2 linked regions of the Lonchura striata genome follow. The protein of the gene in region 1 interacts with the protein of each later gene in a pairwise test. Links are inferred from orthologs where the notes say so. Each region holds a gene or a part of one and is shown in the gene's direction. Other genes may lie near its edges.

Evidence for each region.
Region 2: the proteins of CETN3 (region 1) and SGSM1 interact in binary tests that used the Homo sapiens proteins (3 or more experiments, as listed by UniProt). The two-hybrid records come from large-scale screens. The link is inferred for Lonchura striata from reciprocal best matches to the Homo sapiens genes CETN3 and SGSM1.

Annotation. Positions count from the first base shown.
Region 1 is NC_134642.1:67,035,860-67,043,027, reverse strand, and holds the start of CETN3 (centrin-3), read left to right. Parts: upstream 1-4,117; 5' UTR 4,118-4,229; coding exon 4,230-4,246; intron 4,247-6,313; coding exon 6,314-6,449; intron 6,450-7,168. UniProt on the Homo sapiens protein: Plays a fundamental role in microtubule-organizing center structure and function. As a component of the TREX-2 complex, involved in the export of mRNAs to the cytoplasm through the nuclear pores.
Region 2 is NC_134620.1:10,992,501-10,999,896, reverse strand, and holds the start of SGSM1 (small G protein signaling modulator 1), read left to right. Parts: upstream 1-4,297; 5' UTR 4,298-4,348; coding exon 4,349-4,367; intron 4,368-4,462; coding exon 4,463-4,506; intron 4,507-7,396. UniProt on the Homo sapiens protein: Interacts with numerous Rab family members, functioning as Rab effector for some, and as GTPase activator for others. Promotes GTP hydrolysis by RAB34 and RAB36.

The DNA of each region.
Region 1 (7,168 bases):
AGCATGGTTACTCCTAACTACTCAGACTTTATTGGACAAGCTGTCTTACAATAATTTAAAACTTATTGATTAAAAAATTATTTTAGAGCTAACTGTGAGTATTCCCACACATGCCCAACAGGGTCCTGGGGAGGCAATGAGGCATTCAACAGAAAATAAAATTGGGAAAGTAAGCAAACAAGCAGCAAAAAGAGGCCTGACATGGAAAAAGGCACAGAAACTTAGTCAACATTGCTGTGATTGTGCCAGGTATTTCCCAGCAGTTTGACCCTGATGCACAAAGAAGTTCATTCACAATCATCAAACTGCCAATGATACTTGGTATGTTTTTAATTTGACTTTATATTTGTACATATTATTTGTTCTAAGAGTGACATGAACAGAACTGTTTTGACTTGCATGAAATCTTACCCATCTTCTCCTTTAAAAAATTCAGGATTAATTTAATTACAATTCTGATATGTGATCTGATTTTGAGCAGCTGGGATGAGGTTTATAGTCTTTGCATACTCAGATTCAATTTAGGACAACAGAGTGGTAGGATAGTTTCCTAATACTAATAAAATTAGGATTAGAGAAGAATATAGCTTCACTCAAAGGGAAGACAGACCTGGCAGACAGCCCCACAAATTACTTTTAAAAAGCAATAAATGAGTTTGAAAATTAAGTAAAAGCTAGTAATGTTTTTTCTGGTTATGCTATGCTTTAAGTATATTTCATTATTAATTATTTTCCTTATTAAGCTGAGAATATGTTTGTGTGAGAAACATGCTAGTGCATTCATAAGTGGTCATTTTAGGACGGGTTTAATCAACTTTGAAAATGCAAGGATTTACAAGTCACTACTACCACAACCATGTACTTATTTTTAGCTATTATTACTTGAGCCTATTATTACTTGAGCCTATTATTACTTGAGCCTGTCTTTTCTCTTTGGAATTCTGTGCATCTCCATTTCACATGCAGTATGAGCACTGCTGCTAACTTAATGAAGAGTGGCACTTTGGTTTCTGGAGCCACTTTTTAGCTTATAAATTTAGAAGTAGGGACATGAATGTGGATCTTCAGTTCCCAGAAGCACACCCAGACTATCAGTATCAGGTATCTCACTCTGCTTGACAAAGAGCAGCCAGGGCACGGGTGCACCATGAGAGAGGACAACCTGGAAGCAAAGCACAGTCACAACACTGGCAGGGATTATGAACTCCCTGCAGAGTAACTTGACCTGTCAGCAGCCCAGCGACTGCAGACAATGGCAAGGTCATGACTCAAGGTCATGGCCAGGCCACAAAGTCTGTAAATATGTCAGCAAGAGCAGCACACAGTACAAGACGGGAATAACCCCAGCGCAGCTCAGGCAAGATCCAAGACCCTATGCTGAGACCCAGGATCAACACGCAGAGGAGGTGAGAATGGGGGTGAAACAATTTGGGGCTCTTGGTGCAGCTGGGGGCTACTTGTGCTACTTTCCCACACTTAAATCACCATTTGGTTAATGCTTCCTTTTCTCTCTGGACAAGTAAATGTGTTCTATGAAACATAAAAAAAAAAAAAATTAATCTGTGGTTATATTTGCACCACAGTACAGGCTGAGGGTCAAACCTGCCAGTAATTTATGCTTTTAGTTGCAAAGCTACTGTCTGTAAACAGAGGTCAATTACAAACCGCTTGCCTCTGCCTATTTGATCTGTGGACCAGGCATAATATGAACAGACAGCAAAATAGGTTTCATCTCTTCTTGACTTTGCTCAGGAAAAATGTGTATTGAGCAAGCCAAACTCTACATATTGAACACTGTGTACTCCATGTACATAATAGTTTATTACCGGAAACACGGGTGCAAAACATCTCCAAGACAAGCTGTCAGGACTGAAACGCCTGAAGGAATTTTTCATTGCCTGAGAATTTTCAGTCTGTCTAGCCAGACTGCATAACATAGGATCTGAATAACATAATGGTCCAGTTAGTAACACTGTACTATGTTGTCAAAGCTAGTTATGAAACAGCCCTTTTTTATGAAGAAAGACACAGTGACAATTACTTTGTCACACACCAGAGCACTGAGGCAGCGCTTTGCAGAAATCTGAGTTTTCTCACCAGTGATATGAGCATTTTCTCTACACAGATATGTAATGGTGATTCACTGACTGTTTTGCAAGACACAGTAATATTAGTGTCAATGATAACTGGAACTATACATAAGGTCTTCCAATCTCCACACAGTACATATTGCTTTTGTTATGAATGGGGTCTCATATGTCCAATTTGATAAATCACAAGATTGCAATTTAGCAGCAATTTTTAATTGGGGTATAAAATAATAATAATACTACAATCAAATGTAATGAAGTGCTTACAAAGAGTAATTTGACAATGGTTCAGATAAAGCATAAGTGAAACCAATCAGGGTATGGAGAAGGCTTCTTGTCCTGCTATCCATAAAAAGGGCAAAATGATCCAAACAGAAATTTTATACTGTATGCTAATACATATTCATCAATATTTCCTGTAAATCTCCTCCCATTTTTGATTCTTGAAATCTACATCACTAATACTACACAGCGCATCCTCCTGTTGTTGCTATGGGATCTCCTGGGCTTTTTGGTGGTCTTGGAGGAAGGCCAAAGGTCTTCCTTACTTGTCCTCTGGATAACCTGGCAGGTGGCACATGCACATTAAGTTTGGTGTTATGTAAGTAAGCACTATTTTCCAATTAAACCTTATTTATCTCATAGATAAGACCACTATTTTAGACTCCCTGTCTGGAATTGTCCCAACTTTATTCATCTCCAAGGTTGGTCCTGCTCTGGGAGTTGTCTCATTCCATCTTGATGCCAGTTTTGGTTTGGGAGTCTTCCTGACTTTGTCCATTCCCAAGGCCGAATCCAACTCCTACATCCTGCTTTCCACTTGTATTCTTGAAGAAACCCGTCCGCTTCATAACACTAATCACATGCACTTTTCCAATTATTTTTCCAAATTATTGGTTTAAGTACAACTTATTCAGCACGAATCACATCTATTTATCACACTTTCAATCAAATTTTTAGCAAGGCAAAATCTGTACAAGTGCCAGAAATGCTTCTGTAAATGCCACTTTTGTGTCCATCTCCACAGCCCACTGCACCTCCAACAGTTGGACTGAAGAGTAGCGAGCAGGCTCTGGGGGCATGGGGAGTTCTTCTGACACAGACACCAGACGTTCTACAGCAAGACTAGTAGACGTGCTGACCACAAAAATCAGATTTATAACCCAGTGTGCAATAAGCCAGTAATTACACACTTGAGGGAGACATGGATTATTTGTTTTAGAGTCGCAGAAGCCTGGGTGCTGCATTGTATTCCATGAGTCAAGCACACCAACTATCAAAACTCTTTAGTATTTTGTGTATTTATACACATTTTAGCAAACAAATGCATTAATGTTCACTGGCTTCAGGTTACATCGTTCTCTTATTAATTATTATTCTATATTCTGTTGTTAATAATTCTCTTATTTCTCATGCTAATTAGTCACATGCCCAGTCCTTCTCTTGAGTCGGTGGGCAGCTTGGTAAGTGATCTGCTGGAACTGGAGCTCATTCAACACAGTTGCTGAGTTGCCTTTATTAATTTCTTCCGTATCTTGGGAGTTCTGCCAAATGTCCTTGGAGTCTATAAATTCCGAATTGTTTGTTTGATATTGAAACACGTCGTGCCCTAGACCTTAACAAGGAAATTAGGACTAAAGATTTGTCTTTCTAACCCCTGGACATTATTTTAACCTTGCTTAGTAGCGTCTATCTGTTTCAAGGATTGAATCTCCTTCCTTGTTGATTAGGCTTGAAAATCAAGATCAAACATCGAGAAATCCTTCCTTAGGGAAACTTTCCCGCGGCGCCCGCTCGGCGGCAGACGCGGCGCGGCGGCCGGAGGCGCGGCCGGGAGCCACCGCCCGCTCTCGGCGGGGCCCGCCCTCTCCGCGCTGAGTGGCAGGAGCTCAGCCAATGGCAGCGCGCTCAGGGCTCGCAGGCGGGACTTTATCGCCCCTCGGCCAATCAGGTTGGGGACTCGGTAGGGGCGTGGCCTAGCGGCGTCGCTAAGGGCCGGAGAGCGGCGCGGCCGGGCTGGGACGCGGCCGGGCCGTGCGGGGCCGTGCGGGGCAGTGCGGGGCGGGGCAGGGCAGGGCAGGGCAGGGCGCGTTTGCCGGACCCGGCGCGTTTGCCGGACCCGGCTGCGGCAGCGGCACCATGAGCCTGGCCCTCAGGTCGGTACGAGCACGGCGCTTCCCTTGCTTGCCCGCTCGGGGCCCGCAGCGCGGTGTGGGTCCCTCAGGGCCACGCTGCCCCCTTTGGGAGGCCGTGGCGGGGCCTGGGTCATCGCCGGCCTTCAGCCGGTCCCATCTGATCCCTTCGGCGGGCCGGGCCGGACCAGGCCCGTCTTTCTGGCCGGAGAAAGAAGGGTCCGGCGCGTCTGGCCTTGGGAAGTTCGCTTCTGGGTTGTCTGATGTGCTTTCAAAAGGCCTGTGAATAGGCATAAAGTTAAACTGCTTGGCTTTGTTTTGTTTCTGCATTCTGATTTAGTAGCTATTGCGTAAAGGAGCCTGGCTTATGAATCCCAGTGCCTGGCAAATTTTTATCTTCAAGTGTAATTAATATGCTTACATGGCACCTGCTACGATTAATTTTCAAATCTAAGAACTTGATGCTTGCTATGGTTAAAGTAGTTGCAGAAGTGGTACTGAACTACTTGTATTTGAGTACTGCTTTGTCTTTTGATAAATTATTTTATGCTAAGCATTAAATGAACACTTAGGTACCTGGATTGCTCCTTCAGAAGAGTTTGGTGTTAATCTGCTTTCAGATTTATAAATGTATTTCTTCATTGTAGCTCACAAAATGTGGGCTCCCTAGATCTGATCTACTTACTCTCTTGGTCCTAATTACCTAGCCAGCTCAGAGTTATTTTAGGCCTTCCAAGAGTTGTAGTAATCCAAAGCCTGTGTGAAATCACACTGTCTCAAGTGGTCTGTTAAGAACATCTTACTCGTTGAGGGTATTGTGGTTTGAAGCTCAGCTTCTGCAGCTTGCACTTTTATTGTGTGTATTTGGGGTTTTTGCTTCAGTGGTTGTTGAAAACTAAGTATAGATAAGTGTTTAGTCTTAGGTTTTGATTAAAATTAGCAAATTGTTAACAAAGAAGAGCATAAAACAGCTTGTTAGAGGAGACTTGGAAAGTTAATCTTGCAGTTTTCTGTTCATTGAACAGTAATCTTTATGCAGTCTACCCTAGGTGACGCAGCAGCACTCATTCTGCCTCTGGTGCAAAAGGACAAATGAGCATAAAAAGCCTATTCCTGATAGTATAACATAAACTATGCAATAATTTAGGAAAGACTTATGGAAGTCATCTAGTCCAGCTTCCTGATCACAGCAGCTTCTACATAAAGCTGGCTGAGGATGCTAAGCACATTTTATAATTAGGTTAAAAAAATGTTTGATGATGGAGACTCATTCCCAGTGGAACTATTCTAGCATGTCACCACATGCACTGGGAAAATATTATCCCTTAGATCCAGCTGTAGTTTCTATACCAGCTGCAGTTCTTTCCCTTAAATTTTGTAGTTATTGTCTCTCCTCCTTTTACTATGCTCCTCTGAAAATATAAGCTTATTTCTACTAGCCAAAGAAAAGGGGGCAGTCTTTGAGCAAGATTTGCTGATTTGGAGGGCTTGTCTCTTTCATATATACCAAAACAGAGCAAAAAAAAATCTTCAAAACAGTGTGTATGTGTGTGGTCTAAAGAATTAAAAAAAAATTCCTACAAGTACTATTTATCTAAGAATTGTTACAGGTGCCAAAGTTGATTTGTAGCACCTAATGCTAGCTTTTAGTAGCCAGACTGTTTGGCCTAGTTTGGCTTCCACTGGCATATCAGTCCCTAAATTAATTTTATTTTTTAAGCTACAGTGTAGAAATTAACTGTTTTCAAAAGTTGTATAATTTCAACTGCTAATGTAGTTTGAAACCTCAAAAAGCCTTTTTATCTGGTAATTTTTCTATCCTCTGTTTTTTGTTGTTGTTGATGCTTATTAACAAAAATGCCTGTGCTGGTTTATTTTGGGTGGGAGACTGGAGGTATCATTCAGATTTCACAACATAATTGTCTATTTCAAATGTTATTTTAAACTGGGAATACAAGCTGGGAAAATACTGACTAGGTAAGGTAGTGATTTCTAAAATTATGGTGAGTTTATTATTGGTGGAAATGGTTATTTACAATGACATCTTCCCAGTAGAAATCTGTTACACTACATTTAATTTTCTTTATGTAGGAATGAGCTCTCAGTAGATAAAACTAAAAAGAAGAAAAGAAGAGAACTGACTGAGGAACAGAAGCAAGAAATTAAAGATACCTTTGAATTGTTTGATACGGACAAGGATAGAGCAATAAATTACCATCAATTAAAGGTAGAAGTTTCCTTTCATTTAAGCAATTTTATAGCAGATAATATATCTGTTCCATAGTGAATACTTAAGATGCTGGCTATATCTTTAAAAACTTCCTTCAAGATGTCTTGCTTGGTTAAAGGAGTGAAGGAAAAAACAAGAAAGAATGGGAAATTTCTATTGGTATAGGAATAAGCTTTTCTTCCCACTTTATTATTTACTTCATGTGTAACAGAATTGCTATAGCATTGTAAATAACCCTGGTATAATTGCTGACCAGGGATAAGCTTGGACAGATGGAAAAACTGTCCAGGGATAAGCTTGGACAGAGGGAAAAAACTCTTGTGTTTGATTAGTTTTAAAGATTTATGACTTAAAGCCTTCTGTTGGTTTCAGATGTGTAGGTAAAATATGTAAATCAAATTTGTAAAACTGTTGACTACAAGCCAGAGCTTACCTGTATTTTTCAAAAGAAAGCCTATGATTTGTAGGAATAAGGTGTGCTTTTTGAGGGAGGCTCAGTTGTTGCCCTTCTCAAATAAGGATGCTCCTAATGATAGCCTAAACTCCATCTGCTAATAGCTTTCTATGTAAGTAAGGTCTCCCACCTGAAAGTCTGCAGAGTAGTAGATGGAGTTCACTAAACTTCCCTTAAATCATCTATGCATTTTTATTCTAATTAAGACATCAAGAACAAAAGGTAGCTTTGGAGAGGCCAGTGTTTCAGTCACATATAGGAT
Region 2 (7,396 bases), on another chromosome or scaffold:
GGGAATGGCCTGACCCTGCAGGGACCAGCCTGACCCTGCAGGGACCAGCATCACCTCATGGGGACCAGCATCATCCCACAGGGACCAGCATCATTCCACAGGGACCTGACCCTGCAGGGACCAGCATCATCCCACAGGGACCAGCATCATCCCACAGGGACCTGACCCTGCAGGGACCAGCATCATCCCACAGGGACCAGAATCATCCCACAGGGACCTGACCCTGCAGGGACCAGCATCATCTCATAGGGACCAACCTCACCTTGTGTGAATAAACATCACCCCGTGGGTCCCACCTAGGGGAGGGGATTCTGGCTCAGTTTTTGGGGCTGAGGTGGTAAAATGGGACAGTGTTTCCTCCTTCCTCCTGACAAATCCTTATTTCTCTCTCCCTGGTGTGTTTTGCTAAGGAGGTGACACTGATGCTTCAGGAATCATGGAGTGGTTTGGAATGGAAGGGACCTTTAAAGGTCATCTCATCCATCTGGGCTCGACAGGTCTCTCTGGGGTGTGAATTGCTGGGGAAAAGCCACACAAAAGTGAAATAACTTTCACAGCTGAGCTGTGACCAGGAGGGGATGGCAGCATCCCCAAAGCCACCACTCTGCCCTGTGGCAGTTTCACAGCAAAATTCATTGCAGTGGAAGGTGTCTGTGCAGGGCTTGCACAGACCTGGGCTCACCGGGTTCTCCCGGGGCTCTGAGGGCCTCCAGCCCTGTCTTTCACAGCCTTTCCCATCTTTAATTAAAAGAATCTACAGGAGGGAGCTGCGGCTGCAGGGCCATGGTGAGCGGGTTGCTGTGACGACGTGACGCAGCTGCCCGGCACGGGAAGCCTCTGGACACTGTTAATCCCTCAGGCACACACACGGGGAACAGTTAGAAACCTCCAGTTAAAAGCACATTTATATATTCTTTTGGTTTGTTTTGTTTATGTCTGGCCCTGGCTGCTTTGGCTATCATAGAATGGAATCACAGAATCATGGAATTGTTTCGCTTGGAAAAGCCTAAGAGTGGGTCCGGTCCTGTCAGTCCCTCCACAGGGTGGATTGAACTCCACCCTCTCCCTCTCCACTGTGGGACCTGAAATTATTGTGGCTTTAAGATGAAATAATTGTTCTCTGGACACCTCTCCTGTGAAATACAGCAGTTTTCTGCTGGTGGGGCTACGTGGAACCACAAGGATGTTCCCCAAAAAGGGGTTGGCTGGGGGGGCTCAGGGCTGGGGAGGAGCGAGCAGAGATTGGGGGGTCCTGGCACAGCCCCTCCATCACCCCCTGCTCCTAAACCTGGTGTGGCTCGCCCCGGCACACAGGTGAGGGAGAGTTAATCTCCTGTGGTTTATAGGGGATTTGTTTCCCTCCTGGCACTTTCCAGAGCCGTGCATCCCAACCCTTCAGCGGGGGAGTGGAGATGAGAGCCGAGGCTGTGGGGGCTGCCAGTGGAGCTGCCCTTGTCCCGGTTTTGGGATGAAGGGGAGGAATTCCTGCTGCTTGTGGAGCGGGGTTTAACCCCTTGATCAAAGATCACCTCCAGGAGTAAATAACAGAACTGAGGCAGCTGGTGCCCCAACAACTGTGAAAAATAATAGATCATAGAGAATACAGAATAGACAGTAGAGCATAGATAACAGAGACTAGAGAACAGATAATAGAGACTAGAGAATAGGGAATAGAGAGTAGAGGATAGATAACAGAGACTAGAGAACAGATAATAGAGACTAGAGAATAAAGAACAGCTCTTTCTCTGCTGGCCCTTCTTTTCTTCAGGTGTGGGTTACGTGGGGTGGTTTGCTGGGACAAGTGGGAGACCCCTCTGTGCCCACGTCCTGCCCCTGCTCAGGAGGGCTCAGCAGATGGGCTCAGGCACGGCCAGGGGTCTCGGGGATCTGTGGGGTCTGCGGGAAGCAGGGACAGCCCCCAGCATCCCTCGAGCACTGGACAGGGACCCATTTCCCAGCGTGAAGTAGCGGCTGTTCAAACTCTAGCATCCCTTTCAAGTTGAGCTCCTTTCTCCGTTGAAGAATCTCTTGTTTCCCTCACACCGGGCTGTCAAATCACGCCCGGGGGGGCAGAGCTGGTCCTGCAGGAACATCCATGGCCGGAGCTATTCGCACAGCCCTGCCGGCCGGAGCCGTGCGGGGTTTGCAGCGCGGGGATGCTCACGCTGCTGGCTGGGAGCTCGCTGCGCTCCGGCACGGAGCGGGCACGGCGGATGCCCAGGGCTGAGCAGAGCCGTCGGTTCGGTAGCTCCATCCCGGGCAGAGCCGCCGGGCTCGCTGGGGAATGAGCCGTGAATGCTCCCGGTGCTCCCGGCAGCGGGGCAGGGCCGCGCTGTCAGATCCATCACGGCAGAGCTTTGAGATCTCCGCGTGCTTTTAGAAGCTGCAAGGTGGAAAGAGCTGCTGGAGATGGGAGGAAGGCAGGGGGAGAGGTGTCTTGGGCACATCATGGAATGGTTTGGGTTGGAAGGGTCCTGAAAGATCAGCCAGTGCCACCCCCTGCCATGGCAGGGACACCTTCCACTGTCCTGGGTTGCTCCAAGCCCCATCCAACCTGGTTTGGACATTTCCAGGGATCCAGGGGCAGCCACAGCCTCTCTGGGCACCCTCAGCACTCACAGGGAGGAATTCTTCCCAATATCCTGCTTCTGTGCACTGCCTCAGCCACTTACTTCTGCTTTTTCCCTGTTATTTTCCTTATTCAAAGCACAAATCACTTCAGACTGAAAATGCAGAGTTTCAATCCAACTCAAATCAGATTTAAATTTGAATATCCCTTGCTTTAGAAGTTGTTTCTAAACACCATGATGGCTTGATCAGCAGAATGCTTTTATCCCACCTGCTCATCCATGCAGGAAAGTGCAGGGGAGTGAATTGTGGTCTTAAAACAACTATCCTGTTTAAGCCTCAGAGGCAGCAGTGGGAAGTTTAATTTAATTAGCATGATACTCAGAGATGTAACTTAATCACATTAAGTATAGATCAACGTGCTCTCATTTAAGCTCTCCAAGCTCCAGAAAATAGGGGCCAGTCGTCTCCCACCTGGCTTTTCCAAGGAAAAGGAACAAGCAAGGCTTGGGGGGAGCTTGTCCCTGTGCTTCTTTCGGACGATTTTCTCCCAGAGATTCTGGACCCATCTGGTCCAGAACTCTCATTCCCTTGAGTTACATTTGTGCTAAACGGGTATTTAAAAAGCAAACAAACAGCGAAAAACAAACAGAGTACATGGAAATATGGGTATGGGCCAGACTTCCTCCTGGCCCTGGAAGGTACAGAAGGGACCAGATTGGGGTCAGCCCCGAGGCCGGAGCTCCCTCCTGCTCTCCTGCCAGCCTGGGCAGTGGAGGGACCCATCCATTGGGATGCTGGTCCCTGCTGTCACTGGGGACACTGAGGCACGGCAGGAAAAGCTCCGAGGCAGAGGATGCAGCCCAGCTCCGGGGGCAGGCCGGGGGGCTGCGGGGGTGTCCCAGCCGTCCGGACCGGGACCGAGCCCGGTGGCAGCGGGGCCGTGGCGGCGGCCGCTGCCCCGGCGCTGCCGCGGTTCGTAGTTATTGGAAACTGGACTGCGGAGGAGGCAGGATGCTGTTTCTATGGAAATGTCCTGGAACAGTAAACCAGGGAAGAGGAAAACAGAAGAGATGGCAACGGAGCTGCAGGCAGGGCGCCCTCCGAGGGGCTGTGCCGGTGTGATTTGGGGAGGAGGCGTTGGGGGTCTCTGGTCGTTGTCACCTTCCCGCTGTGCCGGAGCTCACCGGAGCGGGCCCGCATGGCTCACGCCTGAAAGGACGCGGTTGTTTCACCCCTGCGAGGAACCCGCCGAGCTCCGAACCTCTGTCCACTGCCCCAGCCGTCCCCAGGTGCGGGGACACCCCCAGGGCTCTCCCCGCCCCGTGTCACCCAGCCCCGCCGCCGCCGTCCCGGGCACCTCGGGGCCGGGCCGGGGGTGCGGGAGCCTGGCCGGGATAACGGGACTCAGCTCCTGGCGGGGGGGGGGGGTGATGGCGACACCGGGAGCTGCGAGCCGGGTGTGACCGCACCATGGCACCGGTCCCGGCTGACACCCGGGCGAGAGCACCGGCACGGAGCCGTTCGCCCCTCGGGGCGCTGCCGGGGCCACCGTCGGTGCCGGGGGTACGGGGCGAGCCGGCGGTGCCGGTGACTGCGGATGCCGGGAGTGGCGCGGATGCCGGTACCGGGGGTGCCGGAGCGGCGAGTACCGGGGAGCCGGTGCCGGTCGCGGATTGGCGGCGGCGGCGGCCCCTCCCCGGCGGGGCGGGGGCGGCGCGGCCCGGCGGGCCCGGCCCGGTGCCCGGCAGTCTGCGGGCGCTGCGGAGCGAGCGCGGCCATGGCGGCGGCCCCGGCGGGTACGGCGGGCGGGGAGCGCGACCGGGGCACCGGCAGCGGGGGTGGCGGGGCAGGGCCGCACTAACGCGTCTCTTCTGCTCGTTTCTCCCCGCAGAGGCGGAGACCCGGCAGCGGCTGCTGCGCACCGTCAAGAAGGAGGTGGGTGCGGGACCCCCGGGAGCAGCCCCGGCCCGGTGCCCGCGGGGAGCTCCGGGCCCGCCCGCGGCATCCGCTGGCTCTGCTGCTGCTTTTGGGGTTCAGAGCCCCCCAACAACCAGCCCGGAGTGCGGCCGAGAGCCCACCCACCCTGGCGCGGTTGCGGGTCCCGGGGGGCGGAGAAGCATCCCTGCAGCGCCAGTGCCCGGCATCCTCGGAAAATCGCCTTTGGCTGGGGGCAGAGCACGCCGCGACTTGGGATTTTCCGCAGGAAAAAGGGGCGACTCCCGGTGCTGCATCCCTCCCTCGGGAGCGGGGATGGGACGAGCCCTCCCGCAGCACGGCGCTCCTTGGCAGGGCGGGGGGGCGGCGGATGCTGCGGACGGGGAGCCCCAAATGTGTGTGCCCGGTGCAGGGTGATGGCGTTCCGCATCTCGCCGTGCTCCCCCTTCTCAGGCATCTTTAACTCTGTTAGTTTGTGCGTTGTTTCATGCTGAGCTGCCTGGAGCTCCGTGTTTATCCCGTGTGTCCCGCCCGGTGCCGGAGCGCTGGGTCAGCGGCAGATGTTGTCGTGTCCTGCCCACGCTCTGTCCCCGCAGGTCACCTCCCGGAATGCCGGAGGGACGTGGGGGGAGAGGTGTGTGGTGTTTTGTTTCTGGTGTTACGAGCATCTCGCTCTCCGGTTTGCAGGCTCCCGGGGAGTGGAAGACGCTGCTTGGAGCCGGGAGAAGCAGACCCGTGGGTGGTGGGTCTGGGGAGGGTGACAGCGCTGCCCACCCAGACCACTTCCCACCTTTAATCCTGTGCCGGGTGTGGTGCTAAGGGATACTCCCGGTTGCCTCAGCAACGGCTATTAAACCAGGAAAAGGGCATGACATTTATTTAGCGTTGTGGATAGAGCTGCCATCTCATTATTGCTGTCTGTGGCAGCTCCTGAGTGCAGACACAGCTGCTGCAGGGTGGGAGCCAGGGCTGCTCCTGGCATCCCCCAGAGCCTCTCCTGTGCTGCCCTTCAGTGCCTGGCTTTGCTGGCTCCTAGGGGCTGGGGGAAAGTGGAGCTGGTACCTCCAGGAGCAGAGCTGGGGCTGGTTCCTGCCCTTCTGCTGGCTTTGGGGGAGATAATGTGGGTTTGGGGCAGATAATGTGGGTTTGGTGAATGTGGGTAAAGCCTGAGGGAGGGAGGACTGTGTGGGGAAAGCTCTCCTGCCCTGTGAAGTGCCACCACGGTGCTGTGAGTGTGAGTTTGACACACTCCTGGCTCTCTCTCAGCAGCCCCTTGGTGCTGACACAGAGCAGAGGCTTTTTCCTGGTGATCCCATTGCTCGGGGTGTTGGTGTGGATGTGGGCTCCCTGCAGGTACCAGGTGGTTGCCATTCCATTGGGATTTGCCTTCCACTTGCCCTTCCACTCCTGCTGGAAGTGCTGAGCTTGGACAGGGGCTGGGTCCAGCGATGGGGGCTGTGGGTGGGGGAGTTCCATGCAGGATTTGTGCTCTCCACCTGGGCTTTGCTCTGGTAGGAGTGAAAAACCTGGGGAAACATCATCCTGTAGGTTATGGAGTCAATTATTCAGCACCATCCCTGAAACCAGGAGCAGGTGGGGCATTCTTGTGCCTGTTGCTCTCTGCTCATGCTTTTGGTTTTTATTCCTCTTCTAGGCCAACCTCAGGTTAAGTCAGGAGCTTGTGCAGACTCCAAGGAGCAGTAGAAAGGGCCAGTTGCAGAAATTCGGTGTGTTTTTTTCCCCCACTCCCAGAATTTTAACCTTTCCCAAAGCTGTATTATTCTCACTTCACGAGGCCACGCCTGGTTTTGCTCCAGCCCTCAGTGCAGGTGAGCCCAGCTGAGGACAGGGACAGGCAGGGCTGTCCTTGGGGAGCTGTGCCACGTCTGTCACCCCAGGGCCATAACTGAGAAGACAAACACTGGGAAGAAGGGCTGATCTGAGCAGGGACAGAAACAATAAACTGGAATTAGCCAGGGCACGGAGCAGCCCTCAGTATTTGGCTGTTGCCATGGTTAAGGCGTTGGGTTCTGGAGAAGTCCTGTGCTGCAGTGGATGTGCAGGTTGAGATGAGCTGTGTTGTCTGTCACCATCTTCTTCCTCCCCCCCACCCCCATATGGCCACAATAAATCAAACCAACCCTGGAAGCTGCAAAACTGACTGTTTGTCAGCAGGCTGCAAGGGAAGGGGTGAAGTCTGACTTTGTCAGGCACCCTGTGTCCTGTTATGCAGGATAAGCAGCATGACCAACATTCTCTGATTTTTTAGAGCTTTTATCAGATGAAACGAGGCTTTTTTTACTAACCCAGCAATACTCAAGTTTGGAGGGATGTGAGTTTTCAACTAGAAATATTCCTCTTGTAATTAGAAATTTTCTCCTTCTTTTACAAGTTTTGTTTTGCACGGAGGAAAGTGCTGAGGTCTGTTTTCAGCTCCCTCCAGGCAGCTGCATGGCACAGAGGAAGGGAAGCAGGTGTTACCTGTGCAATCCCACCTGCACACGTGTCCCTGGAATGTCAGCTGAGTGCTGTGTGAGAGCAAACACTCATCTTGGTCTTTCTTCTGCAAAAACTTAGTTTATGTTTAACTCACCACTCAGGAAGCAGCTCTGAGTCTTTACTCATCAGTAACTGTTGAACCTGGATTGAACATTTTGCTGCTTGTTCTTCGAATTCTTTCAAATATTGGGGTTGACCACAGCCTGCTTGTCTTCTGCCAGATATATTGTTTATTTTTCAGTAGCTGGAACGGTTGTCACTGTGTAGCTGTTGACTAATTCCTCCATCATGTGTCATGGGAACAGCAGTCAGTCTCTTCCTCCCACCCTTTCAGAGAAGCCCCTGCTTTGCAGCCATGTTGCCTGGTTTGTTGCTAAATAACACAAATGAC